Oryctolagus cuniculus: one gene and its partners. The protein of the gene in region 1 interacts with the protein of each later gene in a pairwise test. Links are inferred from orthologs where the notes say so. Each region holds a gene or a part of one and is shown in the gene's direction. Other genes may lie near its edges.

Region 1 (4,145 bases):
CAAAACAAAACAAAATACAGTGCTTTTGTCAGTTAATGATTTTTTTTTTTTTTTTGGACAGGCAGAGTTAGACAGTGAGAGAGACAGACAAAGAGAAAGGTCTTCCTTCCATTGGTTCACCCCCCAAATGGCTGCTATGGCCAGTGCGCTGTGCAGATCCGAAGCCAGGAGCCAGGTGTTCCTCCTGGTCTCCCAAGTGGGCGCAGGGCCCAAGCACTTGGGCCATCCTCCACTGCCTTTCCGGGCCACAGCAGGGAGCTGGCCTGGAAGAGGAGCAACCGGGACAGAACTGGCGCCCCAACCAGGACTAGAACCTGGGGTACCAGCACCGCAGGCGGAGGATTAGCCTAGTGAGCCACTGCGCTGGCCCAGTTGGTGATATTTTTTAAGCTCTTTTTTTATTTTTATTAGACAGGTAGAGTTATAGACAGTGAGAGAGAGAAAGGTCTTCCTTCCATTGGTTCACTCCCCAAATGGCCCCTACAGCCGGCGCACTGCGCCGATCCGAAGCCAGGAGCCAGGTGCTTCCTCCTGATCTCCCATGCAGGTGCAGGAGCCCAAACACTTGGGCCATCCTCCACTGCCTTCCCAGGCCACAGCAGAAAGCTGGAATGGAAGAGGAGCAACCAGGACTAGCCCTTTCTCTCTGTCTCTCTCCTCTCACTGTCTAACTCTGTCAAATAAATAAAATTTTTAAATAAAGAAAAAAAAAAAACCACGCCTTGCCCTTCCTTATCGCACTGTTCTGTAGCATGAATTACATGGGGGATTCTCCTTGGCTCTTTTGAATGAGCCAAAGAGAAGGTGTTAGTAGGCGAGTCAATGGTGTAGATGCTTGGAACTGAACTAGACGCTTGCAACGGACTGTGGCCTGCCCAGTGCTGCCAGAAGAGTCTAAAAGCTGGAATTCTTTTTATTTCTAAACAACCGCTTTCATGCTTATCCTTCGATGTCACCTTCGGCACTTGCCCTGCACTTGGAATAAAATGAGTCTACCTGATGCTAACTCCCGCACTCACATTTTGGTCACTTCCCAAGACTAGGCATCTGGGAAGAACCTTGCTAAGGTCCTATGCTGAAGGCCGCTCAGCCTTTCCTGCCTGCATCTCCCTTGTCCTGCTTCTGTCCAGAAGGGATCCAGAGCGAAGAACAAACTTTCTGGGGTCCCGAGGTACTAGGCACCCACCAAGAGCCTGCCCGCTGCGCCTGTCCCAGCCAAGGGACTGGATGTATGCTTGCCCTGTGTGTGACCCAGTTGCAAAGGAAACCACTGCGCTCTGTAATGAGAAGGAAGGAGCCTCCCTCTTCTCCCTCAGCCCCCTCCCCACTTCCCGTCCAGAGCGCTACTTCCTCCCAATCCGCCTCCCTCGGCCCGGGGACCGGAGCAGGAGGCAGCCAAGGCGGAACTGGAGGAGCCAGCGGCCCGGCACATGTTGCGCCGGGGTCCCCAGGGCGCCCCGGCCGGCGGAGGCGGCGCGGACCGCGGCGCAGGTAGGGGCTCCGCCACAGCAGCCAGAATGGGTCCCGGGAGGTCTGGGCCGGGCCGGAAGTGCGCCTTTCCCCCTCAGTAGGTCTGGGCGAGCCTCTCTTCACAGCTCCAGTTCGGTGCGCCCCTTCAGAGGTGCGGGAAACCGCAACAGGGCGCGTAAGGTGCAGGTTTGGGAGGAGAGGGTCTGGGGCTGTCAGCTCTGTGCCCAGCCCTCCAAGTCCCTCCTGGCCCGCAGGACTCTGCAGAGCAGTCCGCGGCGGACCCATGCTCGCGTCTGACGGGTCCTGGGCGGCGGCGGAAGGCCCCAGGGGCGTGCTTGGAGTTGGGATGGGTCCTGTCCATCCGTACCCCCGCAGGACAGAGCGGCCCTGCACGCCCTCGCCCGGGACCCGCGGGACCTGGAAGGTGGAAGTTGAGAGTGGGGTAAGGAGCTGGTGAGGGCGCGTCCTCCACAGGCCACGGTGCAGTTTCATTGCAGGCTTGGAACTTGGCGACGGCAAAGCCCTCGCCGGAGCTTCGGCGGGACACCACTGCCCAGACCCTGATTACACCGTCAGCTCGCAGTGGTGACACTGAAGTCATGGCGTAGATGTTTGCTTTCCAAGCATGACAGGACTTGTATCTCTCGCTCTTAAAATACATGCAGAAGTATTGGAAACTTTCTGGAGACCGTGAGATTTGGAGTCAGGGTGTGCATTATGTCCTGGGTGCATCCCTTCCCTCAGAAGTCACAGTGGCCACTAATGACGGGGTCTCCCTGCCTCCTTGGGTCTATGGATGTGAAAGCACTTTGCTAAAAGTGTCTCACTGGTTACACAAACGTGAGCTGGGAAACACCAGGGCCATGAAAGCTGGGAGTTGGAGACAGTGTCTTTGCTTCTCAATCCTGGACTTAGCTGTGCCTCAGTTTCCCCACTTTTAAAATGGGGACCATGACAGTACCCCTTTCCCCAGAGGGTTGCTGCGCCGTTTCGGTGTGGTGGTGGATGTGAAGCCCCTAGCTCTACTCCAGAGACAGACTGCAGGATGAAAAGACTGTCGTTGCTAATTTTCCTAAGTAAAACTGAATACTGTGGCGTTTAAAGGAATACTGGTTTGATTTAAGTACGAAGAGTAGGGTGCTGTAAAAGACCCTGGGTTTTCTTGTGCTCAGGCATGACGCATGGAGTCCCTTGAGGTTCAGTTCAGACTCTGCCACAGAACAAGAACCCAGCCCTGGACAGTAGACCTACTTTGTGGGCTTTGTGACCTTGGACCTCAGTTTTTCTTAACTACTTACAAAAAAAAAAAAAAAAAAAACAAAAAAAAACCAGAAAAGGGGAATAGTAATTCCTGCCATTTAGACCAATAGTGCTACCTGAGGTTCAAATAAAGTAAAACATGTAAGACATCGTGTGGAACAGGAGTCACTGTGCACATACAGGACATCATATTACTAGCAGGAATCCTAACATCTGCAACTTTTTACAACTTCCAGATGTGCTGGGAGCTCTACTGTGCATTCTTTTGATGAACTCTTCCCCAAGCCTTTATGGGGCTGGTAATCAGTCCTTGTTTTCCTATGGCAAAGCTGAGGTTCAGGGTCACCTGCTTTTTTCCCAAGCTCACATAGCTGTTCAGTGCAGAGCCAGCAGTGCACCCCTGTGTGGACACCTCTCCCCATTGTCTTTTCAACCTCTGACTGAAAAGATGTTAGTGAATGGAGCCACGGTTCAGAGCAGACCTGTATTAGATCATAGCTAATGATGCACCCTGCATATCATAAAATGGATGGGTAAATTATTAGCCCTGCATAGGTGACTGAAGAAATCGGAGATTTCTTTCATCCCTATTTCTGTAAAATCCGATGCAGGTTATTCTCTTGAAACAATGAAAAACAAAGGCATGGAAAGCTTGAAAGAACGAATGATGATCTTGCAGATCTCAGAAGAAGTGGAATCTGGATTAATACTTTAACACCTAAATGTGTCAGGACCCTAGGATGGCACACGAGGTGACGCTGGGATGAAGGCTGTTGGTGTCAAGGTCACCTCACAGGGCTGCATCCCAGGATGTTTTTGTGGAGACCTCATGTTCAGCCATGATGCTGGCAGAGGGAAATTGAACTTTTTTTTTTTTTTTGACAGGCAGAGTGGACAGTGAGAGAGAGAGACAGAGAGAAAGGCCTTCCTTTGCCGTTGGTTCACCCTCCAATGGCCGCTGCAGCCGGCGCGCTACGGTCAGCGCATTGCGCTGATCCGAAGCCAGGAGCCAGGTGCTTTTTCCTGGTCTCCCATGGGGTGCAGGGCCCAAGCACTTGGGCCATCCTCCACTGCACTCCCTGTCCACAGCAGAGAGCTGGCCTGGAAGAGGGGCAACCGGGACAGAATCCGGCGCCCCAACTGGGACTAGAACCCGGTGTGCTGGCACCGCTAGGTGGAGGATTAGCCTAGTGAGCCGCGGCGCCGGCGGGAAATTGAACTTTAAACAGAAGAGACTGAAGATCAGATCTTTGTGCTGCATTAACAACTCTTAGTTCACTTGTTTCCTAAATTAAGTTTATTACTTTTTTTTGTTTTTCTAAAAGCAACATGTATTCATTACAAGAAGTAGAGAAAACTCCAAACAAGTAAAAACGAACAAACAAACAAACAGTAAAACCACTGAAATCTCACTA
Region 2 (3,500 bases), on another chromosome or scaffold:
TTGGGCCATTCTTTGCTGCTTTCCCAGGCCACAGCAGAGAGCTGGATTGGAAGTGGAGCACCTGGGATACAAACCGGCGCTCATATGGGACACCGGCACCACAGGTGGTGGCTTTGCCCGCTGCGCCACAGCGCCAGCCCCCAGAGGTCTCTTTTTCTAAAGCATCTCTGAACAGATTGTTGGAGGATCTGTGTCCCGAGCACTTAAAATCGCAGGTGATGATACGCCGTCTTGTTGGAGACAAAGCGATGAAATACCTGCTGGGTGGCAACCTGGCAGCTGAGGAATTAGGAGTAATTCAGTTAGGCTCTGCATCTGACCCCTGTCAGACACCAGGTCGCTGCTGTTATCTGCATTCTTGAGTGGAGCTAGCACGGTCTTGCTGTATCTGGCTACTAACACCAAGCACAAGTTACAGGAGAAGATGTCACCAGCCTTGACGCTCGCCTCGACCTGTGCTGACTTCACAGTGTTCTGTCCCTGAGCAGCCGTGGCCTCTCCCTTGAGATGAAGGTAGGGAGTCGTGTGCTTACCAGTGAGAAACTGTGTCTTCCTCTCTAGGCTTTAGATGAGTTTGCAACCAAGCTGATTCAGAACAACCACTATGCAATGGAAGACGTGGCCACCCGCCGCGATGCTGTAAGTGTCCAGGCTCTGTGTGTGCCTCCCTGTCTGCACGTGAATATCCCCTCTACGACAGATAATGCAGTGGAATCCCGTGAGCTGGACATCTTGTTGGGCGTGAGGACTGGAGACTCACGGGAATCCTTGTCTTCCAGCTACTGAGCCGCCGAAATGCCCTTCACGAGCGAGCCATGTACCGCCGCGCCCAGCTGGCCGATTCCTTCCACCTGCAGCAGTTCTTCCGTGATTCTGACGAGCTCAAGAGCTGGGTCAACGAGAAGATGAAAACGGCCACGGATGAAGCGTATAAGGTAAGGCGCTGTGGCACTGCTGTGCAGCACTGGTCAGCCAGCCAAGCGCAGCTCCCACAGAGGCAGTGCCCAAAGAGCGCCCAGTCTAACGTCCACTGACGTGCATTGCGCGTGAAGAGGAGTACGGAGGTAACGTGGCAGCGCAGGTTTAAGGTCGGCTCCCTTCTTTCCTTTGTCGGCAGGACCCATCCAACCTGCAGGGCAAAGTTCAGAAGCATCAGGCCTTTGAAGCTGAGCTCTCAGCAAACCAGAGCCGCATCGATGCCCTGGAGAAAGCCGGGCGAAAGCTGATTGACGTCGACCACTACGCCAAGGATGAAGTTGCAGCTCGCATGAATGAGGTCATCAGCTTGTGGAAGAAGCTGCTGGAGGCCACCGAGCTGAAAGGTGGGGACAGCGTGACGCTGCATTGTGCCGGCCTTTCCCTCTCGTGCAGGGTTTGAGGGACACACCCCACCCCGCCAGGCAGGGTGTGGGGGACTGCTTGCTGTGTAGGAGCTGGCCTGGGTTCTTGTCGCTTTGCTGGCTTGGTCCGTGTGGTCGAGCACGTGAGGTTGACAGGGGAGTCTGAGAAGGAAACAGTTGGGCTCCACTGTGAGCCAAGGGCACGAGTGCTTCTCACGGCCTGTCTCCTGACGTCTGGAAGGCTTTCCCAGACAGCTTCCGATTTACCCTGTAGGAAGTAGGACAGAGGTCACAGAGTGTGCTTTCATCATCTCTGTAATACAAGTGAAGCGCTGTTGGTGCCAGCGTCGTGTTAACCAGCAGGAACTGGAACTTCCCTCCCTGGACAGGAATAAAGCTTCGCGAAGCTAACCAGCAGCAGCAGTTCAACCGCAACGTGGAGGATATCGAGCTGTGGCTGTATGAAGTGGAAGGTCACTTGGCGTCCGACGATTACGGCAAAGATCTTACTAATGTCCAGAACCTCCAGAAGAAGCACGCCCTGCTGGAGGCCGACGTGGCCGCGCACCAGGTAGCCTGCGCCTTGGGGGCTGGACGCAGGAGTGGCGGGACTTTGAAGACCAGGCTAGTCTGGGGAGGGATGCGGTGTGCTGGCTTTCCTAGATGACTCGGGTGCTTCTGCTGCTCACATTAAGTAAGTGAAGTCTCACCTGATAGCCTCTGGGAGCCTGAAATGAGGAAGGAGACGGCAGCCAGACCCCCGTGGGGATGGCAGCAGGCCCATGTTAACTTTTTTGGAGATACCATAACCCCTTACCCAAAAGATCAACGTTAGCCTGAAAACGTCCAGAACATAGTGGCTCAACACCAGTCCAAACTCACGACTTTGTCCTGTGCTGTTGGCAGGATCGAATTGACGGCATCACCATCCAGGCCCGCCAGTTCCAGGATGCTGGCCACTTTGATGCTGACAATATCAAGAAAAAGCAGGAAGCCCTCGTGGCTCGCTATGAGGCTCTCAAGGAACCCATGGTTGCCCGAAAGCAGAAGCTGGCCGATTCCCTGCGCTTGCAGCAGCTCTTCCGTGACGTGGAGGATGAGGAGACGTGGATTCGAGAGAAGGAACCCATTGCTGCATCCACCAACAGAGGTCAGTCTGCCTGCACCAGGTGGGGATCAAGCCAAGGAAGGGCCGTGCGGTATTGGCATGGAGGGGACGCACGTCGGAATAACAGGGTCAGGTTTAAATTATTGCCCTGGTGCCGTAGGGGTAGTGAAGAGTTACAGGTTGGTGCTGACCTCTCTCTTCGTGGCTGGGTAACGAGGGAGTGTTTCCTGCTTCCAGGCAAGGATTTGATTGGAGTCCAGAATCTGCTGAAGAAGCACCAGGCCCTACAAGCAGAAATCGCCGGACACGAGCCCCGCATCAAAGCAGTCACGCAGAAGGGCAGCGCCATGGTGGAGGAAGGTGAGTGGGGTCGTCTCCGGACACGGCTGGTTTTGCTCTGTGTGTCCCCGCCCTTGGATGTGGGCACGGCTTCCTGGGCTAAGGGGCTGGGATCCACCTCTCTCTTACTGTGTCACCCGGACGGGGCCTCACGTTTTCTGAGCCTGGATTTCCTGCATTCACAACACCTCCTCCTGATGAAGTTGTGAGGATCACATGAGCTGCGTAGGTGGAGCGGCTGGTGGAGGCCTGCGTGCGTGTCGCAGTAACTGAACCGCGGGGCGCCGGCTTCACTCTGTCTATGATGTATCAGGATGCCTACTGTGGCGTCTGCTTCTTAGAGTCTAGAAAGATCTACAAAAGGAGTTGGAAAGGGCCTGGCCCGCCGGTCACAGCAGTGAACGTGCCAAGAACACACAGAGGCTGCTTCTGATCCCTCTGTGACTGTCCGTCCTCAGTTCCCCTGCCTGGAGTGGCCACTGTGGCACACTGAGTCCTGGCTGCTCCTCACCTCCAGCCCAGCTCCCGCTAATGCACCTGGGAGGCAGAGGTGATGGCCCAAGTACTTGGGTTCCTGCCACCTGTGGCTGGCGTTCCCAGTCCTGGTTTTGGCTCAGCCTCATTGCAGTTGTTTCGGGCATTTGGGAGGCGAACCAGTGAATGGAAGATCAGTCTATCTATCTTTCTCTCCTGCCTCTCTGGCATTCTACCCT
Region 3 (3,500 bases), on another chromosome or scaffold:
CAGCCAGACCCTGTCCTTTAATGTCAGATTCTGTGGGTGGAAAGAAGTTGTACGGTGAAGTGTCTGAATGTCCGGACTGCCCGTCTGCCTTCACCAGTACACCGTCTTTCTATCAGTGTTTGAAGGGGGGAGGCTGGTTAGGGGAAAGGCTGCTAACAAGGAAAGTGCAAACCAGTTAGGCTGTGCTGTGTAACCCTGCCATTCAGAACAGAAAGCACCCCGTCACTGGCCTCTACCTTAGAGCTGCGGGATCTTGCTCGTCTCCACTTGGAGCCCTGTGAGCACAGCAGCTGAACTGTTTGAACTGAAAGACAAATTGTTACATTTCCACCAGGATGCCTTCAGTTTACTAGCGTATTCCGACCCCTGGAACAGCCCAGTTGGAAACCAGCTTGACCCAATTCAGAGAGAACCTGTGTGCTCAGCTCTTAACAGTGCAATATTAGGTAAGTAAAGCCAAACAGCACAGCCTGTTGGATTCTGTGAGTATTCTGTGCTGGCATTTCTATTGATGAACTCACAAGGGAAATGTTTTATGTATTTTAATACAGAAGTACTTTCACACATAAAAACTGTTCTCCTTTATCTCAACTCCAGATTACATGATCTAAATGTAATAGAAACAGTAGGTTGAGGTGCATCTTCCGGTGTTTGGAAAGTAGTTTTTGTGTGCATGTTTTTACATGTTTGTAGTAGCCATGAATGTCTGTCTCTTCTCATTCACAATGATAGACTTTGGTGGTCCTCGTGTTTGAATTCAAAGTTTTACTCTACCAAAGACTTAGCCCCTCCGCCCCCTTATTGAAAGGTGTATTCCTGCTGCTCATTTCTAGGCTAGGAATCAGGGCAGCATTTTCCTAAATCTTCCATTGGCTAGACCATGGCTGTCCTCCAGTCCAGGAGAGAAGCACGTGGGCTTGCAGGGAGACGGCCTCTTGTTTTTCTGGGTTATCAGGGCCTCCAAGTTGTCAGTTGTAGAAGGTTGTGAGAACTGGATTAGGGTCAGTGGGAGGACAGGGTTAACTTGCCTGAAAAGCAAAATAGGACTTTAAGGTGCTGTACAACCATTCTGTATAGCTGAACACATTTCGTTCAGTGGATTGATCAGAACTGGGCTTCTCGATTGGCAGCTGTAGAACGAATTTGAGGTTATTAATGAAAACACAGTTCAGGTGTTTGGTCCACAAAGAGTGAGGTGAGAAACAAGCAGGGTGAACTTGAAGAGGTCAGGAAATGGAGGTTTCGATGGAACAGGCAAAATGTGAAAGAAATGAGAGCCGGCAAGAGCTTGAACATCTGAGAAGTCTGGGTGCGACCCTGTGGAGGCCGGGAGTCCTCGCTGGTGCTCCCTGCTACCTCATTCCCACCTTTCTCAAGGTGTTTTAAGAGTAGCCCTAGCCGGAGCCACATGTCTCACAGCTCCTACCACGCCTAGGGTACAGATGAGGGGGGCTTCGAGGTGTCTGAGTACCTGGTCAGCACCAACCTCTGGAGTCAAATTAAGTGTGTGTCTAGGGGAACCACAGTAAACGGCAGGTCCTCGCCCTACAAGGATGGGTGAGGAAGAGAACTGTCCCTGGTGCACAGCCCACGGTGAGCGCAGAGTGGGAAACGCCATCCGCTCTTCCTGTGAGCGCAGGATACTTCGGAGTTCTGCGACTGCATAGACTACACAGAAATCCACGTTTCAGTTTCTGGGCAGTTCTCTTCTGTTAGGTAAGAGGGATTCCCCCCCCCCCCCCAATCTGATTCTGGGATCTAACACCCAAGAAAAATGAGATTCCAGTTAGGAAGTTGATGCTGTGCTATTTGGCCTTGTGAGGTTGTGAGCTTTTAGTCAAGTGTTTCAAACTATTTTAGGAAAATGAGAGCAGTGTCCCAAAGTGACTTAGACAGACAGGGAGGTTGTAATGCGGGCCAGGAATGTAAAGAAGCCTTATTATTTGTTAGGGAATAGTAATGTCTTTTGTGTTACAGTTTGCTTAAACTTAGAATTTGTATATAAGCAAAAAACCATCAAAGAAAATGTATTAGATATGCAGGGAAAATCATGGTTTATTGTAATTGTCACTGAAACTATACTATGGGTAATCCTGATGTAGCTGTTAGGTAGTAGTCAGATGTGGAAAGAATTTCTGAACAAAAGTAAGCAGCTCTCAGGATAGTTTATTTCTTTGGGCTCTTGGGGGGGAACTGGATATGTGAGGGTGCTTTGACAAATTCATGGAAAATGGAAATCAAAGGCTTATTTAGCTACATAGTTTTTGAAATCCATGCATGGTGTGTTCATAATATACATTTTTTCCCATGAATTTTCTGAAGACCCCCCCTTATATATTCTGAAGTACTATGCTCTATTGTGGATGTTTGGCTATAAATACTGTGTAATTTATACAACGTATAACTCCTATAAAATTGACAAGATTATTAAAGATTGTTGTGGATAAGTATGCATGTGTATAAATATATGCTGTATTACGTAGGTTCATGTATGTGTAGTAAATGCATTAACTGCACATAATTCCTATTCCTCTGGCCAAATGGTAATAGTAGTAAGAGTGCACCTTTGTGCAGGGCTGTGCGCTTCCCTCAGACACAGGCCTCCTCCCTCGCAGTGCTGTGTCTGCCCTTTAATCCTCTCAGCCTTCACCAGGCTGTGTACCTGTCTGCACGCCTCCTTCCCGTAAGTTTCAATTCTTGGATGTGTTTGAGTCTTTTCTTCTAGAAATTCTCCTACAGCCATACTTGTGAGCTCTGAACCGAGGATGAAGCTAAACCAGCCACACTGTGTTTTGCCCTTTTTCAGTTACGCCTACTAACAGTATTTTCCTGATGGGGAGATGTTTTTTAAAAAATGTTTCACTAATTGCTATTTCCATTCTTAACTCTATTTCCTCAGAAACTCACAATCTGCCAAAGCAACCTCCGCTTGCCCTAGCAATGGGACAGGCCACACAGTGTCTGGGACTGATGGCTCGGTCAGGGATCGGATCCTGTGCATTTGCCACGGTGGAAGACTACCTGCATTAGCTATGCATTTCAAGAGCTCACACCTATATTGTGGCATTTAGTCAACACGGAAGTAGACCAGCTCTGCTGATTTGAAATTTAGATTTTTTTAATTATGTACTGGGGACAGGTTTTTGTCGCTTTACATTGCTTCCTAGTTTACAGCATGATGCAAATGATTTTCTAACTTAGTGTTAGGAGAAATTTATTTTCCATCTTTAACCTCTTAGTTGTCTAAGAGTTAAATATTACTGAATTTCAGACGTTCAAATTGATCATCACAAATCCTATAAAACAATTACCTAAAACAAACCAAAAAAGTCCTGCCTTTTTTGTGGGGGGGAGAGGGGGGAGGAAACGGAACAAGTCGTGTTTGTGTTAGCATGTGGGTGACGTAAACTTCAAACTGGGAGATGTTCCGACCCCCGCTCCTACATAAGCATTCAATCAGTGTAACTTGCAAAATGCATAAACATCGACAGTTTGAATTC
Region 4 (4,078 bases), on another chromosome or scaffold:
CTTAATCTTAAAATAACAGTATCAGGTCAGGGATTTAGAATACAGTATTATATGAAAACAGTTGGCAGGGAGACTCCCTCTTCTGCCAGTAATAACTGACAGGAAATGGTATTTCAGACCCTAAATCCTACTGAAATCCAGACACAATAAATGGAGAATTTGGGGTGAATAGTTTGTTAGAACATGTTTTTCAAAGTAGAGAAAGAATCACCAGGCTCTTGCTGAATTATATGTTGCCATGGACATGGCAGTATGCAATAATGATGCTATCATCTGTACAGCTGTATAAAAACATAGTGTCTCTCTCCCATCCCCCTAAGGCATGAAAATAATAGGTTTGTGTGTAGTTTGGTAAGAAAATTAGAATCATTTAGTCGTTTCAGTTTCAATCTAAGAGAGAGATGGGGAGTGGAGAGGAATAGCAAACAAACTGGAAAAAAAATACATACTATGTAGTAAAGCATAAAACACATTTTGTAGAAACTAAAGAGGGGTATCTTTGGTGTACTAGAAAACTGAGTGAAATCCACCAAAATGGATGACTTCAGAGAAAAGACTTGTATTAAGTCCTATCACTTGTGTGTGACCTTGAGCAAAGGCACCAGGTCTTTAAGCCTGGATTTCCTAACCCATATAATAGAATCAATAATGGCAATGTCCTGTACCTCCAGGGCTATGACAAGGATTAAAAGAGTGAAAACACCTTGTATACTTCAAAGTCCTGTACAAAGGTGTTCGGTAGACTAGATTTTCCGAGACAGGAGTTGAGGAAAAAGTCTAAAAAGACTTGAGGCTGAGGAGTTGGGTTCAAATTCCAATACATAGCTAGAAGTTTTGAGACCTCAACGCAAGTAAAATACTATCTCACCTTTCAGTTTCCTCTTTTAAAGAGGAATATGCTACATCACAAAATCGAATGAGAACCTACACCTGCGGGGTGTTTGAGGCCTCCTCCCTGGAACTGCTCTTTCAATGAATGTCATTAACAAAAGCTGTTCACAATGTAGGATCTTTGGTTCAAGGTATGCCAAGGTAAAAGAGGATCATAGGGAATAAATGGATAAATGCAGTCGAAGTGGGAACCAACAGACTTGGAGCTGAGTCCCTTCTTAAGCACGTGAGGCTGGAGTATCCCTCCAATAAAGATATTCGGAGTTGGACGCCAGGCAAGTCCGGTGCCCTCTCGACTCTACTACGGACTCGACGAGAGGGACCCTGAAATTCTTCATTAGAACAGGTTGCTATGGCGACAGTCTCCAGGCAGCGTGGGCTGAGCTCGCGGTAGGGATAGAGGGTGGGCCGCCGCTGGACCCTGTGCGCGTGCCCGCCACCAACTTTCCCTCCAGACCCGAGGGGCGGCGCGCTCCGCCCCCGCCCCTGGGCCGCGCACGTCGGCGTTCGGTGGCGCGCACGCCTGCGGGAGCCCTCTCCAGGCAACCTAGTGCTGATCGCTCGTGCCGGTGCGGCCGTTAACCGCCCTAGCGGGAGCCCGAACCTCAAAAGCAGCCCCCTCCCCTCTCTGGGCTTCCCCCGACCCCCTTCCCGGTCGGCCCCGGGGCATGAGCAGCGATGGCTGGCTGCAGCCCTGAGGAGAAAACTTACCGGCGTTTTCTGGAGCTATTCCTGGGCGAGTTTCGCGGACCGTGCGGCGGCGGCGAGCCGGAGCCGGAACCTGAACCCGAGTCGGAGCCGGAGCCTGAACTGGTAGCCGCTGAGGCGGCCGAAGCTTTGGTCGAGGAACCGGGGGAAGAGGCGGCCGCGGTAGCCGCGACGGAGGAGGGGGAACCGGAGCAAGACCCAGAGCCTGAGGAGGAGGCAGTGGAGGAAGAGGCGGTGGCGGCGGGTGAAGGCGAGGAAGAGGAGGAGGCGGCGGCAGCCGCGGCCCCGGGGCACTCGGCCGTGCGGCCGCCGCCGCAGCCCCAGCTGCCGCCGCTGCCCCCGCTGCCGCGGCAGCTGTCTGAGCGCATCACCCGCGAGGAGGTGGAGGGCGAGAGCCTGGACCTGTGCCTGCAGCAGCTCTACAAATAGTTAAGTAGCGGGGCTCGGCTGGGGGTGGGCCCGCTGTCCTCGACGCGCCGGCCTCCGAAGAGGCTCTCCCTGTCCCCACACCCCCCACTCCTCTCTCATCTACTCCTCACCCCCGCACCCCGCCGCTGAACGCAGCCCGGCTGCTCGGGCTCGGCCGGTGGGCTGCGGGCTGCCCACGCCCGCCGCGGCCCCCGCGCCGACTGCCGCCTCGGAGCCGCTCTCCGGCTGGCTCGGGCCCTTCTTGCCCCTTCCCCTCGGCCGCGCACTGCTCATTCCACTTCACACTCCCCTTCTGCCTCGGAAAATCCTTCCTCCTGCCTGGCCCCGAGTTTTTTCTTCTGGCCAGCTCGCCTCTGCTCCGGCAGGTTGCCTCCCAGCCCAGGCTGTGCGTTCGCGGACTGGGCTCCCTGTTGTCTGGTGGAGAGGTGCCTCCTGCGTAACGGCCGCGGCGGGCACAGAAACCCCGGCCCGGCGTCCTGGAGAGGGGACGCCCGAGTCGGTGTTCCGTTAGGCGCTCCGTGTTGGAAGTGAGGCGCTCTTCGGGAACCCGGTCTTTTAAAGACATTTAACAAGCCGTTACTGACGGAGGTGGGAAAGGATTGATTGAGAGGAGTAAGCAGAATTTTACAAGTGAGCCTTCAGGTGAGAGCCATAATTCATTAAAGTGGAAAAGTCAGGCTGCTTTGATAAAATTGCAATTAGGTACAGTATTTTCAGTCCATTAAGTAGAAGGGGGGGGGGGCGTAGCAGATGGCTTAGCCACACAGATGAAAGTCTAAAATAGAAAGGTCAAAGCTTTGCCTTTCATCCCAGTTCTGGTTTTTATAGACTTGAAATAGATGCAGTTTACAATTGGTGTTTCTTTCCAAATGGAATTGTTCTGAAACAACTATCGATAGAGGAAAATACTAACGAAGCTTTGAAAACATTGGCAGACCTGGGAGTCTTTTGCCACTCAGCTGATAGTTTAATGAAAGGTGTTACTCTGACCATCCAGAAAGTTTACTACTGCAAGATTCACCGGAATTAAGTTCACACTTCTTGCATTTTCTCAAAAGCCTAAATAAAAGAAAGGCCTATTTTGTCTTCATCCAGCCTAATGGACACCCGATCAAATCGTTTTCCCGTTAAAGCTGCGGCTTATCAGCAGGGAAAAAAACATGTAACAAATCACCTGTAGAAGTAGACTGGGTTGATGTCTCAATTTATAAGCAGTCTAAAATTGTAAAATTACATTTTGGGAAATGTAAAAGATAAAATGGCGGGTAATACTGCTACCCTGAGATAAACAGCATTAACATTTTGGAGTATTTCTTTCTAGTCTTTGTAAGTTATCATTAAAGATGTCATTTTTAACACTGTTTGAAGACACTTAAAGCTCTCTGCTTAAAATGTTTAGTAAAATGAAGGAATTTATGTCAGCATCAGCCTAATTCTATTTTGACAATAAATTCTTACCTTTATAAATGCAGTTGCAAAATTAAACACGATGTAAACATTAGAGAATGTCCAAAACAATAATTGCCAGTTTAGTATAGCCCTGAATGTTTGTCATTCAAGAAGTTTTTCTTTTTTAATGATACCTGTATGAAGATGTGTATTTTTTCACATGGAAAAGAAGCAGAATTAATTTTAATACATATAGAAATTGGGAAAGTGATTGAATTGAAATATATATAGAAATTGGGAAAATGATTGAATTGATTAAATGTCCACCTAATTAAGAACAGAAGTTTGATTTTGAAATAAAATTAGCAAAATTATAATTGGAAAATATTTTATCTTAATCAGACTTTATCATTTAAACTGTATTTTGTTTAGAAGCTATTAATGTATTTTTATTCAGATGTAAAATGGCTGGCTTATTTATGTAGAATATCTTTAAAGTCTTTACAGGTTTCAAAAGTTTCAAAAAATATACTGCTGTGTTTTTATTTTATTTATAAAAGAAAAACATTACTTAAAGAATCAATGCTGAAAGATTGTAGGGATAGATTTTTCTGTCTAAGCACTTCATTTTATATGTGAAAAAACTATGAACCCAGATTCA
Region 5 (3,500 bases), on another chromosome or scaffold:
GTCCCTTGGTACAGTGGAAGACTTGAAAGCTCAGATTGTTTGTGCATCTGAATCCAGGAAGGAACTAGAATTAAAACATGAGGCAGAAGTTACAAATTACAGGATCAAACTGGAGATGTTGGAAAGAGAGAAGAATGCTGTGCTAGACAGAATGGCTGAGTCACAAGAAGCCGAACTAGAGAGACTTAGAACACAACTTCTGTTTAGTCATGAAGAGGAACTTTGCAAGCTGAAGGAAGATTTAGAAATTGAACACCGCATAAACACTGAAAAGCTTAAGGAAAACTTGGGCATTCACTATAAACAGCAGATAGATGGCTTACAGAATGAAATGAGTCAAAAGATAGAGACCATGCAGTTTGAAAAAGATAATTTGATAACTAAGCAGAATCAGTTGATTTTGGAAATTTCAAAACTAAAAGATGTACAGCAGTCCCTTGTGAATTCAAAATCTGAAGAAATGACCCTTCAAATCAGTGAACTTCAAAAAGAAATTGAAATACTCAGACAAGAAGAAAAGGAAAAGGGTACACTTGAACAAGAAGTTCAAGAATTACAACTTAAAACTGAATTACTGGAAAAACAAATGAAGGAAAAAGAGGATGACCTTCAAGAAAAGTGTGCACACCTTGAAGCAGAGAATAGCATTCTTAAAGATGAAAAAAAGACCCTGGAAGACATGTTGAAAACACATACTTCTGTTAATGAAGAAGAAGGAGTGATTGTCGTGGATCCCGTTGAGTCCAAATCCAAAGACAGTAGCTGGCAAAATGAAATAGAAATACTTACAAAGCAAAATGAGGATCTCAAGCAAAAATGTATTCAGCTAAATGAAGAGATCGAAAGGCAAAGAAATACATTTTCATTTGCTGAAAAAAACTTTGAAGTTAACTATCAAGAGTTACAAGAAGAGTATGCTTGCCTTCTCAAAGTAAAAGATGATTTGGAAGACAGTAAAAATAAGCAAGAATTAGAGTATAAAAGTAAGCTTAAAGCACTTAATGAAGAACTTCATTTGCAAAGAATAAATTTACCTACTGTGAAAATGAAAACCTCAGTTTCTGATGAGGAGAAAACTTTGGTAACAGAGCCATTGGAACTTGGTGAAGTTGTTGAGAAAGATACAACAGAACTGATGGAAAAACTTGAGATAACCAAGCGAGAAAAATTAGAACTCTCAGAGAGACTGTCGGATCTTTCTGAACAATTAAAGCAGAAACATGTTGAGATTAGTTTTTTGAGTGAAGAAGTTAAATCTTTAAAGCAGGAGAAAGAGCAGTTTTTATTGAGATGTAGAGAGCTTGAAATCATAATCAACCACAGTAGGACAGAAAACACCCATGTGGATGATGTTCCATTAAGTTCTTTAAAAGACGGAGCTGTGACTGTGACAAGCAGGGATTCTGGATCCTCGGTTTCTCAAATAAATCAGTGTTCTGGTGAAGAATCAAAGCTCATGGTGGAGGACAAGATTCCTTTTGCAAATCTGACCATTAGAAAAGAAAGCGAGCCGGAACAGTTGTTTTTGGATCACTTGCCATTGGTAACAAATGAATCATCATTTGGGGCAAGTGAATCAAGTGAAAGTGATAAACTTCAGCAGGAACTCCGTGTACTTAAATCAGAACAGGTAAGTTTACTCATTTGTATATGATAAAGCAGAGTGAAAATACATTTCATAATACAAGTTTTCACCTTGATGAGACATTCATATTCATACAAGAGAAATTTAATTCTCAACTGGGCTTATTTAGTTCAGCTGTTTTTTCTTTTTTCTTTTAAAGATTTATTTATTTATTTGAAGGAGTTACACAGAGAGAGAAGGAGAGACAGAGAGAGGTCTTCCATCTGCTGGTTCATTCCTCAGTTGGCCACAACGGCCAGAGCTATGCTGATCCGAAGCCAGGAGCCAGGAGCTTCCTCCGGGTCTCCCACATGGATGCAGGGACACAATGACTTGGGCCATCTTCTATTGCTTTCCCAGGCCACAGCAGAGAGCTGGATCGGAAGTGGAGCAACCAGGACTCCAACTGGCACCCATATGGGATGCCGGCTCTGTAGGCAGCACCTTTACCTGCTATGCCACAGCACCGGCCCCAGCTGTTTTTTCTTAAACATTGTTGCCTCTTCTTCATTTAATCCACGTTACGTATTGTGCTCAGAATATAAAACATACTGATGGTTTTACATTTTCTTTGGAAATATAAATGTTTAAATGACTGTTGAGAATCCCAGCTATAGAAAAGTTATTAATTTTATAATCTTTCGTTACAATCTCAAAGATTGGTTTTAGAGTTTTTATTTCACACTGGTGTTTTCAAGGTTCCTCAAGTGCAAATGAAGTCCTAGGCTTTTTAAGTACTGTTAATAATTTGTCATTAGTTACAAAATTGTATTTCCCTAGAGAGGAAAAAAAAAACACTGAGTTCTCCCTGTTATATGTTAATGTTAGCCGTCGCAAAACACACCGAACACCGGAGTAAGGGAGAGGGTTTATTGGGGAACACCCAACAGTCCAGAGTGAAGGGGCGCCGAAGGAAAAAGAGAGAAGGAGACTGTAAGAGAGAGAGAGAGAGAGAGAGAGAGAGAGAGAAAGGAGAGAGACGAGAGGAGGAGAGGAGCCAAGAGAGAGCAGGAGAGAACCAAGAGGGCACGTGCTCAGGAACAGGCCCTTTTAAAACTTTGCCTGAGGGTGGGCAGGGAAGCAGGAGCAGCAAATCCCATTAGGATGGGGGTGGAGCATGACCACAGAGGTTGGGCCATGTGGCCACCTGGCTAAAACTGTGCTAGTTTCCTAACACTCCCAGAATCTTGTGATACTTAAAGGAGAAAAAACAGTATTAACTCTGAATATATCTAAGTAATTTAAAAATGTATACAGTGAATAATATTAGATCACTCCTGATCATTTATATTTGCCAGTACTGTTATTAAAAAATACTCAGAAAACTGAGTAGCTTCAGTAAAATGATGCCAACTCAGATTTTGTGTGTTTCTTAGGTAACAAATACTTACTGGGTCTCCTGCAGTGATGTGAGTATGTTGGAGAACATGGTTCTGGGACTCAAGGAGCATGTCTCTAATGCAGTGAGCCAGGAAACCAAGTAGGGTGATTAGAAACTGGTAAATGTGATGAAGAGGACAATGTGGAGGTGATGGTGGTGTCCCAGTTCCACACAGTGGTCGGGAAGGGTCCCTTGGAGGAATTGACACTGGAGCTGAGATCTGAATGAGAAGAAGAGTGTGCCGTGTGGGAATTAGCCATGGGTGACTGTGGAACAGGATGAAGAGCTCTGTAATGAGTTAGAAGAGGAAAGTGGAAGCAGGATTTGAAGAATGAAGAGACTGAACGTTAGCCTCACAGGCTTGGAGGAGTTTAGATTTCATTCTAAGCGTGGTGGTGGGAAGCCATTGGAAAGGTTCTCTTTTTATTTCCAATGACTTACATTTATCTCAGGTCAAATACAGATTTTACTTTTTAAGTCATCAGAATAGAATGA
Region 6 (3,500 bases), on another chromosome or scaffold:
CCTGTCAGGAAAAGAGTGTAGTAAAAAGTGGAGCACACTTACCAGTGAAAGCCTGGCTCCTGTTTCACTCTCCAGCCAGTTTCTGTAGTTTCTTCTCTGACGCTGGTTGGCGATATCCGTTGACTTTTGTAAATGGAGCTGAGAAGGTCATTTCCCTTGGTATTAGATAGTCAAGTTTTTATTTCTAGAGCTTAGCTCAGCCAGCACCTCCTCCAGCAGGGCTGATCACTCACCCCTCGTGTTCTTCCTGCCTCGGTTAACACAGCTACAGTAGCAGCTACCACTCTGTATTGGTAGGTATCTGGTTGGCTGTCTGCCTGCTGGGGCTGCTGGGTAGTCACCATCCATCTCAATGTATCACACAGACCAGCAGCAGAAGCAAAAGTAGATGACCATACCTAGATGTTACATAGATCTGAGTTTGAATCTTTAGCCTGGATATTTACTGAAATCCCAGGGCAATGTCTAGCAAATATGCACTCAGTCAGTTGTAGAAGTTGAAGTGAAAAAGTTTCTGTATTAGGAAGTTAAAATATAAATGTCAAGGCATTAATTTTTAACTTTAATATGTTGCACCTTTAACATACTTTAAAAATTTCTTTATATATTTACTTGAAAAAGAAGACTTCCTATCCATTGGTCTACTCCCAAATGCCTGCAACAGCTGGGGCTGAAGCCAGGACCTGGAAACCTCAGTCCAGGTCTTCCATGTAGGAGTTAGGAACCCAACTACTTGAGCCATCACACCGCCTCCCAGGGTCTGCATTAGTAGGATGCTAGAGTCAAGAGCTGAGCCAGGTATTGAACTCAAGCACTCTGATGTGGGACGTGGGGATCTTGACTGGTAAACTAAAACATGTGCCCCATAACATATATTTTATCTACAGCTTCTGTGAAGTTGATCATTGGGCAAACAAAACAAGAAATACTGTTATAAATCAGTTTCCAACAGCAAATGACCTTTGCTAGCAGCAGAAATCAAGGATCACGGTTGGATATTGTTCCATTTCAGGAATATATTAGTCTCAGATCCCTTTCTATATTTTGAATTTATCTTAAGTAAGCTTAAAAATCTATGAAAATTTAAAATGTCTTTGAAATTTCAAAATAATTCAATTTGGGTAGATGAGATTAGATTAAAGGTATTTACTTACAAAATTTAAATTCTATATTAGTATATAGACTTATTACCTATACTGATATTATATATTCATATATTACTAGAATTGTTTATTCTAGAGTAATGGTGTTTTCCACTCCAGAAGCCCTCAGAGGTGCTGTGGGAACCATTGTGAGCAGGAGGAAAGGGTTAGGGGAAGCTGGGAGATAAGCAGGTACCCAGGCAGATGGATGTCTGCCCTGCAGGGCATGCCTCCTAACTTTCACGGCATACCGAGGCAGGGTGTTGACAGCAATGAAAGCTGACTGTATTGGGTGCTTAGTACATGCCAGGCACTGACAAGGTAAAAGAAAATAGTGAGTCAAGAAGGAATTACATATATGTAAGAGTTAATGCCTTACTCAATAATGGACGGAAGAAGATAGAAATGCAATTCTAAGTCTAGCTTCTTGTTTTTTAGCCTTGGTAAACTTGGGGAATTGCTAAGAAAATGAGCTAAGTGTAGTCATGGACCCATTGAAAGAGCCCAAAATAAGCCCATCATAAATTTGTGTTTATTGTATAAATTAAGAAAGAAGGGAGGGCGTTGTGATGCAGTGGGTTAAGCCGCAGTCTGCAGTACTAGCATCCTATATGGATGTCAGTTTGTGTCCCAGCTGCCCTATTTCCAATCCAGCTCCCCACTAAGGCACCTGGGAAAGCAGCAGAAGGTGGCCCAAGTGCTTGGGCCCCCTGCCACCCACATTGGAGACCAGAAGAAGCTCCTGACTCCTGGCTTCCACCTGACCCAGCCCTGACCATTGTGGCGCAAACGAATGGAAGATCTCTGTGTCACTCTGTCACTCCCTCTTGCTTGGTAACTCAGCCTTTCAAATAAAATCTTCTAAAGAGTATGGAAATTAGGAGAGAAGACCACCAGCTCCATTAGAAGAGCCAGTTCAGCAGAAGAATTTGGCAGTCCTAAATTAGTGGTTTCAGTCCTGTCCCCATTTTCTGATCTGCAAACCTCTTTTCATAGGAAATGGTATGATATAGAGTCAGAACATACAGGGGGATGGGGACTCCAGCAGGGTGCAGGCTGACATTATGATGCTCCCTCTTAGATTTATTATTGCTTGAAAACTCTCCCCTGAAAGGTGGTCTTCCTGTAGAAGTACTTCAGGAAACCCTGACAAAGATGCCCTTCCTAGGCATGTGACTAAGAAAAAGTGCTCAGACACCTCACTGTGCTTATCAACAATTCCAGTGAAGTCACATTGTGGAGTTTTCTCCAGTTTGAGCAGATTTGTAATATTTTTGATCAAAAGTCACCAGCTGTTAGCCAGCACGTGCTTTGTTTGAATGTAGGGAAATAAAAACATTTGAGCCAGCGTTGAAAAGTTGGGAAGATATCAAATGAGAGTGGGAGGTCCTGGCATCTCAGGAGATCTGGCAGCTGTTGGCAGCATTGAGCAGTAGCTGCAGCCTTCAGATGGGTCCTGCTCTGTCTGGTCAGTTGACCACCCCTCCCACTCCTTGTTTTAAGGTCTTCTTTTTTTTTTTTTTTTTTTTTTTTTTTGAAACTGCTTGGGTATTTCAAGATTGAAGACAAAAGTGGGAATTTGAAGGTGTTTCTTCCTTTGTGTAACTCTCGTTATTTAATAGTTGCAGTTGTATTCAGAGGCCAGTGTGGCACTTCTAAAATTGAATAACCCCAAGGATTTCCAAGAACTGAATAAGCAAACTAAGAAGAACATGACCATTGATGGAAAAGAACTGACCATAAGTCCTGCATACCTGTTATGGGATCTGAGTGCCATCAGCCAGGTATGGGTTATGGAGATTGTTTCACAGTTTGAGGGTTTAGAAGGATAAAACTATGTAAGCCACTACGTTAAGAGAAGGAAAAGGACTTGAAGTGAGTTGATTGAAACTTTTCAAATTGTCCACTCACCACCATTGCTTTAATATTAATTGAAGTGACCTAGAATTGGATCCAGACACCTTTTTATAAATATATTAAAGAAATGCTGTATTTGAGTTTGGGGATTTTTATGGTAGACTTAGTCTTTCACATTTTTGTCCTATGTAAAATTAGATTCCATCTTTGCGAGTCTGCCAGAGCACTCTGAGCACAGGGGAGAGGAGGAGGAGGAAGAGAAGGTGTGCTTCTGGGTATTTCACCTGTCCACGCTCCATGTTTCTCTCAGTCCAAGCAGGATGAAGACATTTCTGCCAGCCGTTTTGAAGATAATGAAGAGCTGAGATACTCACTGCGCTCTATTGAGAGGCATGCACCATGGGTTCGAAATATTTTCATTGTCACCAATGGACAGATTCCATCCTGGCTGAACCTTGACAATCCCCGAGTGACAATAGTAACACACCAGGTGCTTGACTT
Region 7 (4,017 bases), on another chromosome or scaffold:
CGGCTGGGTGGAGCCGGGCCGCGAGACACCTGCAATTTCCGCTCCTCTGCCCCCTCTCCCTGCCGCCGGGCTGGGTCAGCCGGGGCCCTGGGCACTAGGACTTTGCTCAGATCTAGCCTTCGGAGACAAAATGGCTATGACCTTTATGTTCTATAGCCAAGTCTGATTTGGTAGGGGGGAAAAAAAACCCAAACTACCCAACGGGAAAGGCAGCCGTTTCGTGTGCTGGCGTCCACCTAAGCAGCCGGCCTCTCCCGCTCGGGAGCGAGGCTTTCTGAGAGTGACCGCGTCTCCGCCAGGCCGTGCCTGTCGCCCCCGCCTCGGCGCCCACCCATTGTCCTCTCGCCGCTGTCACCGGGCGAGGATCCCAAGCTCCCGATTGGAAAAGCTGCCCGTCACTCAGCCACACTTAGGGGCTGGTCGCTCCGTCCTCTTTTCCGAACCTTAAAAGGTCTAAGGCCTCTTCCCCCGCGCCGACAGGTAAAGCGGCGGCCGTGGCCGCGGCAGGCAGGCGCCGCGCACCCAGGTCCGCCCCGCCCTGGGCAGCCGCGGGCGCACGGCCGGGCGGGGTCCTGCGGGGAGCGCGCCGCACGCGGCCCCGCCCTCGCCCTGCCCCTTCCCCCAAAAGCCGCTCACAATGCCCGGCCGCCCCAGCCGGCCCCGTAATCCAGCCCTCGGACCGCCCTACGGCAGTCACCACCGCGAAGCACGGACCCCGGACCCCGGGGCGGGCCAGGCCTCAGGGCGGGGGCGGGGGGGGTGGGGGCGCGAGCGAAAGGTCCCGGATGTTGCTGAAGCGGAGCCCCTTCTGAAGAGGGAGTGATTGGCGCAGGCGCAGGCCAGGTCGAACGCTGAAGTGGGGGTGGGGACACATTTTCTTCCCGTAGGATTAGCGGAAGGGAGAGCCGGAGGATAGGGGCGGGGGGGGGGGGCGCGGCGTCCGAGAGGAAGACGAGGAAGCGGGGTGGCGGTGGGGAGGGAAGTACAGCAGCTTCCTGCCCAGGCGCACTCGGGGAACGAGTAGACAAGGTGGAAGCCGAGCGCCGGTCGCGGGGCGAGGACGCGCGCTCCTTCGCTCGCCCTCTAGCGCGGGCGGGTAGGGCGCGCGCCGGGGAGCGGCGGTTGCGCTAAGGCCCCCGGAGCTGTGGGCACCAATCAACGGTTGCCATAGCAGCGTTTGACGTCATCGTGCGTGTGGTGCCCCTGCTGCCGGGGCTGGTGATTGGAGGAAACCCCGTGTCTGCGGAGCGGCTGTAGCCTGTGAGCAGCGAGATTCAGGGACAGAGTCTCAGCCTCTCCGCCGCCGCCCAGAGCCCGGTGAGCCTCCGTCCGTCTGTCGGCTCCTACTCCGGACACAGGTAAGGGACCCGGCCGCAGCCGCCTCGCCCCCGGCCGGCCCTCGGAAGGCTTGGGAGCCGACCTCGCCTCCGCGGCCCCATCGGCCCGGCCGTCGGGCGGTAGCGGCGCGGAGCTGAGGCGGAGTCTCCTCAGGCAGACACGGGCGGCGGCTTCTCTTCCGCAGGACTCGGGCGGGCGGCTTGCGGCCGCCTCCGGCTACATGTTTCCGGGCCAGTGCCTCGGCCCCGATCGGCGCCCGCTCCCCTCTCTGGATCCCCCGGGTGTGTGGGGGGGGATGGGAAAGGCGCCCCCGACACGAGATCCCCGGGGATCCCCCGGCCGCCGGCTCCCCACGGCTGCCGAGGCGCGGCCGAGGCGCCCCGGCCGCGTTCCGTCCCCACCCTGGCCCGTGCGTCCCCGCTTCCGCCCGGGAGAATGACTTGGCGGCCGCGGCGGGCATTGCAGTGGCGCAGGTGAGGCCGCCCCCTCCCCGATCCGGTTCCCCGGCTCGCCCCCTCCCCCGCTCCCGGGCGCAGCCTCCGCGCCCCGCGGTGCGATCGCCCTCCCCCACCCGGGGCGCGGCGCGGCCGGGAGGGGCCGGGGCCGCGGGGACCGGGCCGCCGCGCTCGGCGCTGCCCCACGTCGGGCAGGGCGAGGCCGCCGAGGGCCAGCCGGCGTGGGGAGGGGCCGGCCCGGGACCGGCGGCGGCGGCGGCGGGAGGAAGGACTTGAATTTTCCCGGTTGGGATGGGGGAGGGGACTGGTTCTTTTCTACTTGTGGTGGGGCGGGGGTGGCGCGGGGGAGCTCCGGGCCCAGGTCGGGTAGGGGAGGTGGGGGAGACGGCGCTCGGCTGCTCTCGCTCTCCGGCCCCCCCCCCCCCCCCCCCGGGCTGGAACCAGGGGCCCTGATCCTGCTTTGCGGGCCCCGAGCGTAACAGCCGGTGGTGGCCTCGCCGGGCTGGGTGTGGCTCTCCGCCCCCTCCCCCACCTGCTGCAGCTGTCGGGTCCTTGGACTCTGGATGGGCATCGGTGGCGGGGAAGACGCGGGGTGGGAGAGCGGGGTGTGTCCGCGGCCGAGCTGGTAGTGGTTCCGCTTCTGCGGGCGGTGCTGGCGTCTCGGTCCCCGGGTCGGGCGCCCCCCTCCACTTGGGCGGGGGCGCGGGCTGCTCCGCCCTCCTGCTCTGGGCGGGGGGTTAACACTCGGCGGTAGGTTGGGCTCCTTGACACAGATCCGCCATGACAAAGAGGGAGAGTCGGCGACTTGTGCGAAGGCACCGGCTTGGGCGGGGCCTAGGAGGAGGGGTGGTTGCGGATTGCGCGCACGGAGGCTTTGCACTTTAAAGTCACGGTCTGCGGGTTTGCGTTGCACCCTCCCCGACGCCTGACGCCGCGGAAGGGTTAAATGGGTGCGGCGAGTCATCTCCATATAGAGGCGAGGCCTTGGAGCACTAGTTACTCCGAGAAACCTAATCCACTTCCCCTTGTCCCGGAGGGGTTGTAGAGGAAAACCTTTGTATTGGTTTTAAGCCATTTTTCTTTAGAAGCAATATTAAGCAGAAAATGTTTGGCGATTTTATGGGAAGGGTTATTTTTGAAGAACCGAGAAGAAATGTTCGATGATAAATGTTAACTATTTTGCACATTGAGATGGCCCTCCTCGCATACGCTCTGGCCAGTTTCCTTTTGAGTTTTTAAGCAGTATGGTGGGGTTTCCCTGGGAAGATAAAGAATGAGATATTGGGAAGTCAGTTCCCCTGGGAGATGACAGTGGCCCTTCCGTCCCCCGTTTTAATCTAATAGTACATTTCATTTCAGGCTCTGTGTGTGCTTTTAAATCCTTTGTTCTGTGGTATCACAGTACGGTGTAGTACCTTTCTCTGCTGTTGAGCACCGTCTGAAAGGCTATCTTATAAGATAAATGCAGTGGAGGTAACCTGAAAAGTACGGGGAACCTTAAATGAGGGAAGGAGAGCTAGGGGAAAGGGCAGCTTGAGTGATAACATCTCATTAAATTGTGAGTACTAGAAGCGGTGCAGTAATTCTATTTTGAAACTGGAACGGGGACATTGGAAACGCAGATGCTTCCAATGTGATGAATTTTACTGCTCTCGGATGGAATTGAAATGAAAGGGACCCTTGGGCCACTTTGTGAAGCATGTATGCACATAAGAAGGTATAAAGGAGGCCTTAGGGTCAGTTAGAGAGTGATCCTTGGTGATGGCTTTATATTCAGAATATTTTAAGAATGAGCAATTTGTGTGTTCCAGAAATTGTCATGCTGTGATCAGCTGGCAAATGTTGCTATATTGGGTGGGAGTGACACCAACTAAATTTAATCATCCCTGATCAGAGTAAGTATTAGGAAAGAAAAAAGACATGGACTGTGGTTCTGGAGATAGGGATGACGGTAGTGGCACTGTTCTTTGTTTGCCTTGTTTTCATGAAGGAGGAGAAGCTGTTCTAATTTTGGGTCTCATGATAGAGATTTTTGGTCAAGTGAGATAAGGGGTAATTTTAAAAGGCAGCCTTTTGACCAAATGTGCAAAACTGGTGTTCCTTGCTGTGAATTTCCCTCTCCATTGTTGTTGTGAGTTTTTTTTTCCCTGTCGTGACCATCCTTTTGTGAGGCTGCATTTGAATTCCTCCAGTGAACAGTCTTTCACAGACACTAGGTTTGAAG

Evidence for each region.
Region 2: the proteins of DISC1 (region 1) and SPTAN1 interact in binary tests that used the Homo sapiens proteins (3 or more experiments, as listed by UniProt). The link is inferred for Oryctolagus cuniculus from reciprocal best matches to the Homo sapiens genes DISC1 and SPTAN1.
Region 3: the proteins of DISC1 (region 1) and RANBP9 interact in binary tests that used the Homo sapiens proteins (3 or more experiments, as listed by UniProt). The link is inferred for Oryctolagus cuniculus from reciprocal best matches to the Homo sapiens genes DISC1 and RANBP9.
Region 4: the proteins of DISC1 (region 1) and PPM1E interact in a two-hybrid assay, tested with the Homo sapiens proteins (2 studies listed by BioGRID and IntAct). The link is inferred for Oryctolagus cuniculus from reciprocal best matches to the Homo sapiens genes DISC1 and PPM1E.
Region 5: the proteins of DISC1 (region 1) and AKAP9 interact in a two-hybrid assay, tested with the Homo sapiens proteins (2 studies listed by BioGRID and IntAct). The link is inferred for Oryctolagus cuniculus from reciprocal best matches to the Homo sapiens genes DISC1 and AKAP9.
Region 6: the proteins of DISC1 (region 1) and GNPTAB interact in a two-hybrid assay, tested with the Homo sapiens proteins (2 studies listed by BioGRID and IntAct). The link is inferred for Oryctolagus cuniculus from reciprocal best matches to the Homo sapiens genes DISC1 and GNPTAB.
Region 7: the proteins of DISC1 (region 1) and YWHAZ interact in binary tests that used the Homo sapiens proteins (3 or more experiments, as listed by UniProt). The link is inferred for Oryctolagus cuniculus from reciprocal best matches to the Homo sapiens genes DISC1 and YWHAZ.

The regions. Positions count from the first base shown.
Region 1 is NC_091444.1:51,179,889-51,184,033, forward strand, and holds the start of DISC1 (disrupted in schizophrenia 1 protein), read left to right. Parts: upstream 1-1,345; 5' UTR 1,346-1,430; coding exon 1,431-1,491; intron 1,492-4,145. UniProt on the Homo sapiens protein: Involved in the regulation of multiple aspects of embryonic and adult neurogenesis. Required for neural progenitor proliferation in the ventrical/subventrical zone during embryonic brain development and in the adult dentate gyrus of the hippocampus.
Region 2 is NC_091432.1:231,847,213-231,850,712, forward strand, and holds part of SPTAN1 (spectrin alpha chain, non-erythrocytic 1), read left to right. Parts: intron 1-561; coding exon 562-639; intron 640-779; coding exon 780-935; intron 936-1,117; coding exon 1,118-1,322; intron 1,323-1,729; coding exon 1,730-1,911; intron 1,912-2,246; coding exon 2,247-2,490; intron 2,491-2,685; coding exon 2,686-2,808; intron 2,809-3,500. UniProt on the Homo sapiens protein: Fodrin, which seems to be involved in secretion, interacts with calmodulin in a calcium-dependent manner and is thus candidate for the calcium-dependent movement of the cytoskeleton at the membrane.
Region 3 is NC_091436.1:157,016,933-157,020,432, forward strand, and holds part of RANBP9 (ran-binding protein 9), read left to right. Parts: intron 1-334; coding exon 335-446; intron 447-527; exon of another isoform or gene 528-1,028; intron 1,029-2,899; coding exon 2,900-3,030; 3' UTR 3,031-3,500. UniProt on the Homo sapiens protein: May act as scaffolding protein, and as adapter protein to couple membrane receptors to intracellular signaling pathways. Acts as a mediator of cell spreading and actin cytoskeleton rearrangement.
Region 4 is NC_091448.1:34,142,863-34,146,940, forward strand, and holds the start of PPM1E (protein phosphatase 1E), read left to right. Parts: upstream 1-1,278; 5' UTR 1,279-1,569; coding exon 1,570-2,027; intron 2,028-4,078. UniProt on the Homo sapiens protein: Protein phosphatase that inactivates multifunctional CaM kinases such as CAMK4 and CAMK2. Dephosphorylates and inactivates PAK. May play a role in the inhibition of actin fiber stress breakdown and in morphological changes driven by TNK2/CDC42.
Region 5 is NC_091447.1:43,719,358-43,722,857, reverse strand, and holds part of AKAP9 (A-kinase anchor protein 9), read left to right. Parts: coding exon 1-1,630; intron 1,631-3,500. UniProt on the Homo sapiens protein: Scaffolding protein that assembles several protein kinases and phosphatases on the centrosome and Golgi apparatus. Required to maintain the integrity of the Golgi apparatus. Required for microtubule nucleation at the cis-side of the Golgi apparatus.
Region 6 is NC_091442.1:104,763,459-104,766,958, reverse strand, and holds part of GNPTAB (N-acetylglucosamine-1-phosphotransferase subunits alpha/beta), read left to right. Parts: intron 1-2,764; coding exon 2,765-2,926; intron 2,927-3,309; coding exon 3,310-3,489; intron 3,490-3,500. UniProt on the Homo sapiens protein: Catalyzes the formation of mannose 6-phosphate (M6P) markers on high mannose type oligosaccharides in the Golgi apparatus.
Region 7 is NC_091437.1:126,360,566-126,364,582, reverse strand, and holds the start of YWHAZ (14-3-3 protein zeta/delta), read left to right. Parts: upstream 1-1,217; 5' UTR 1,218-1,358; intron 1,359-2,032; exon of another isoform or gene 2,033-2,078; intron 2,079-4,017.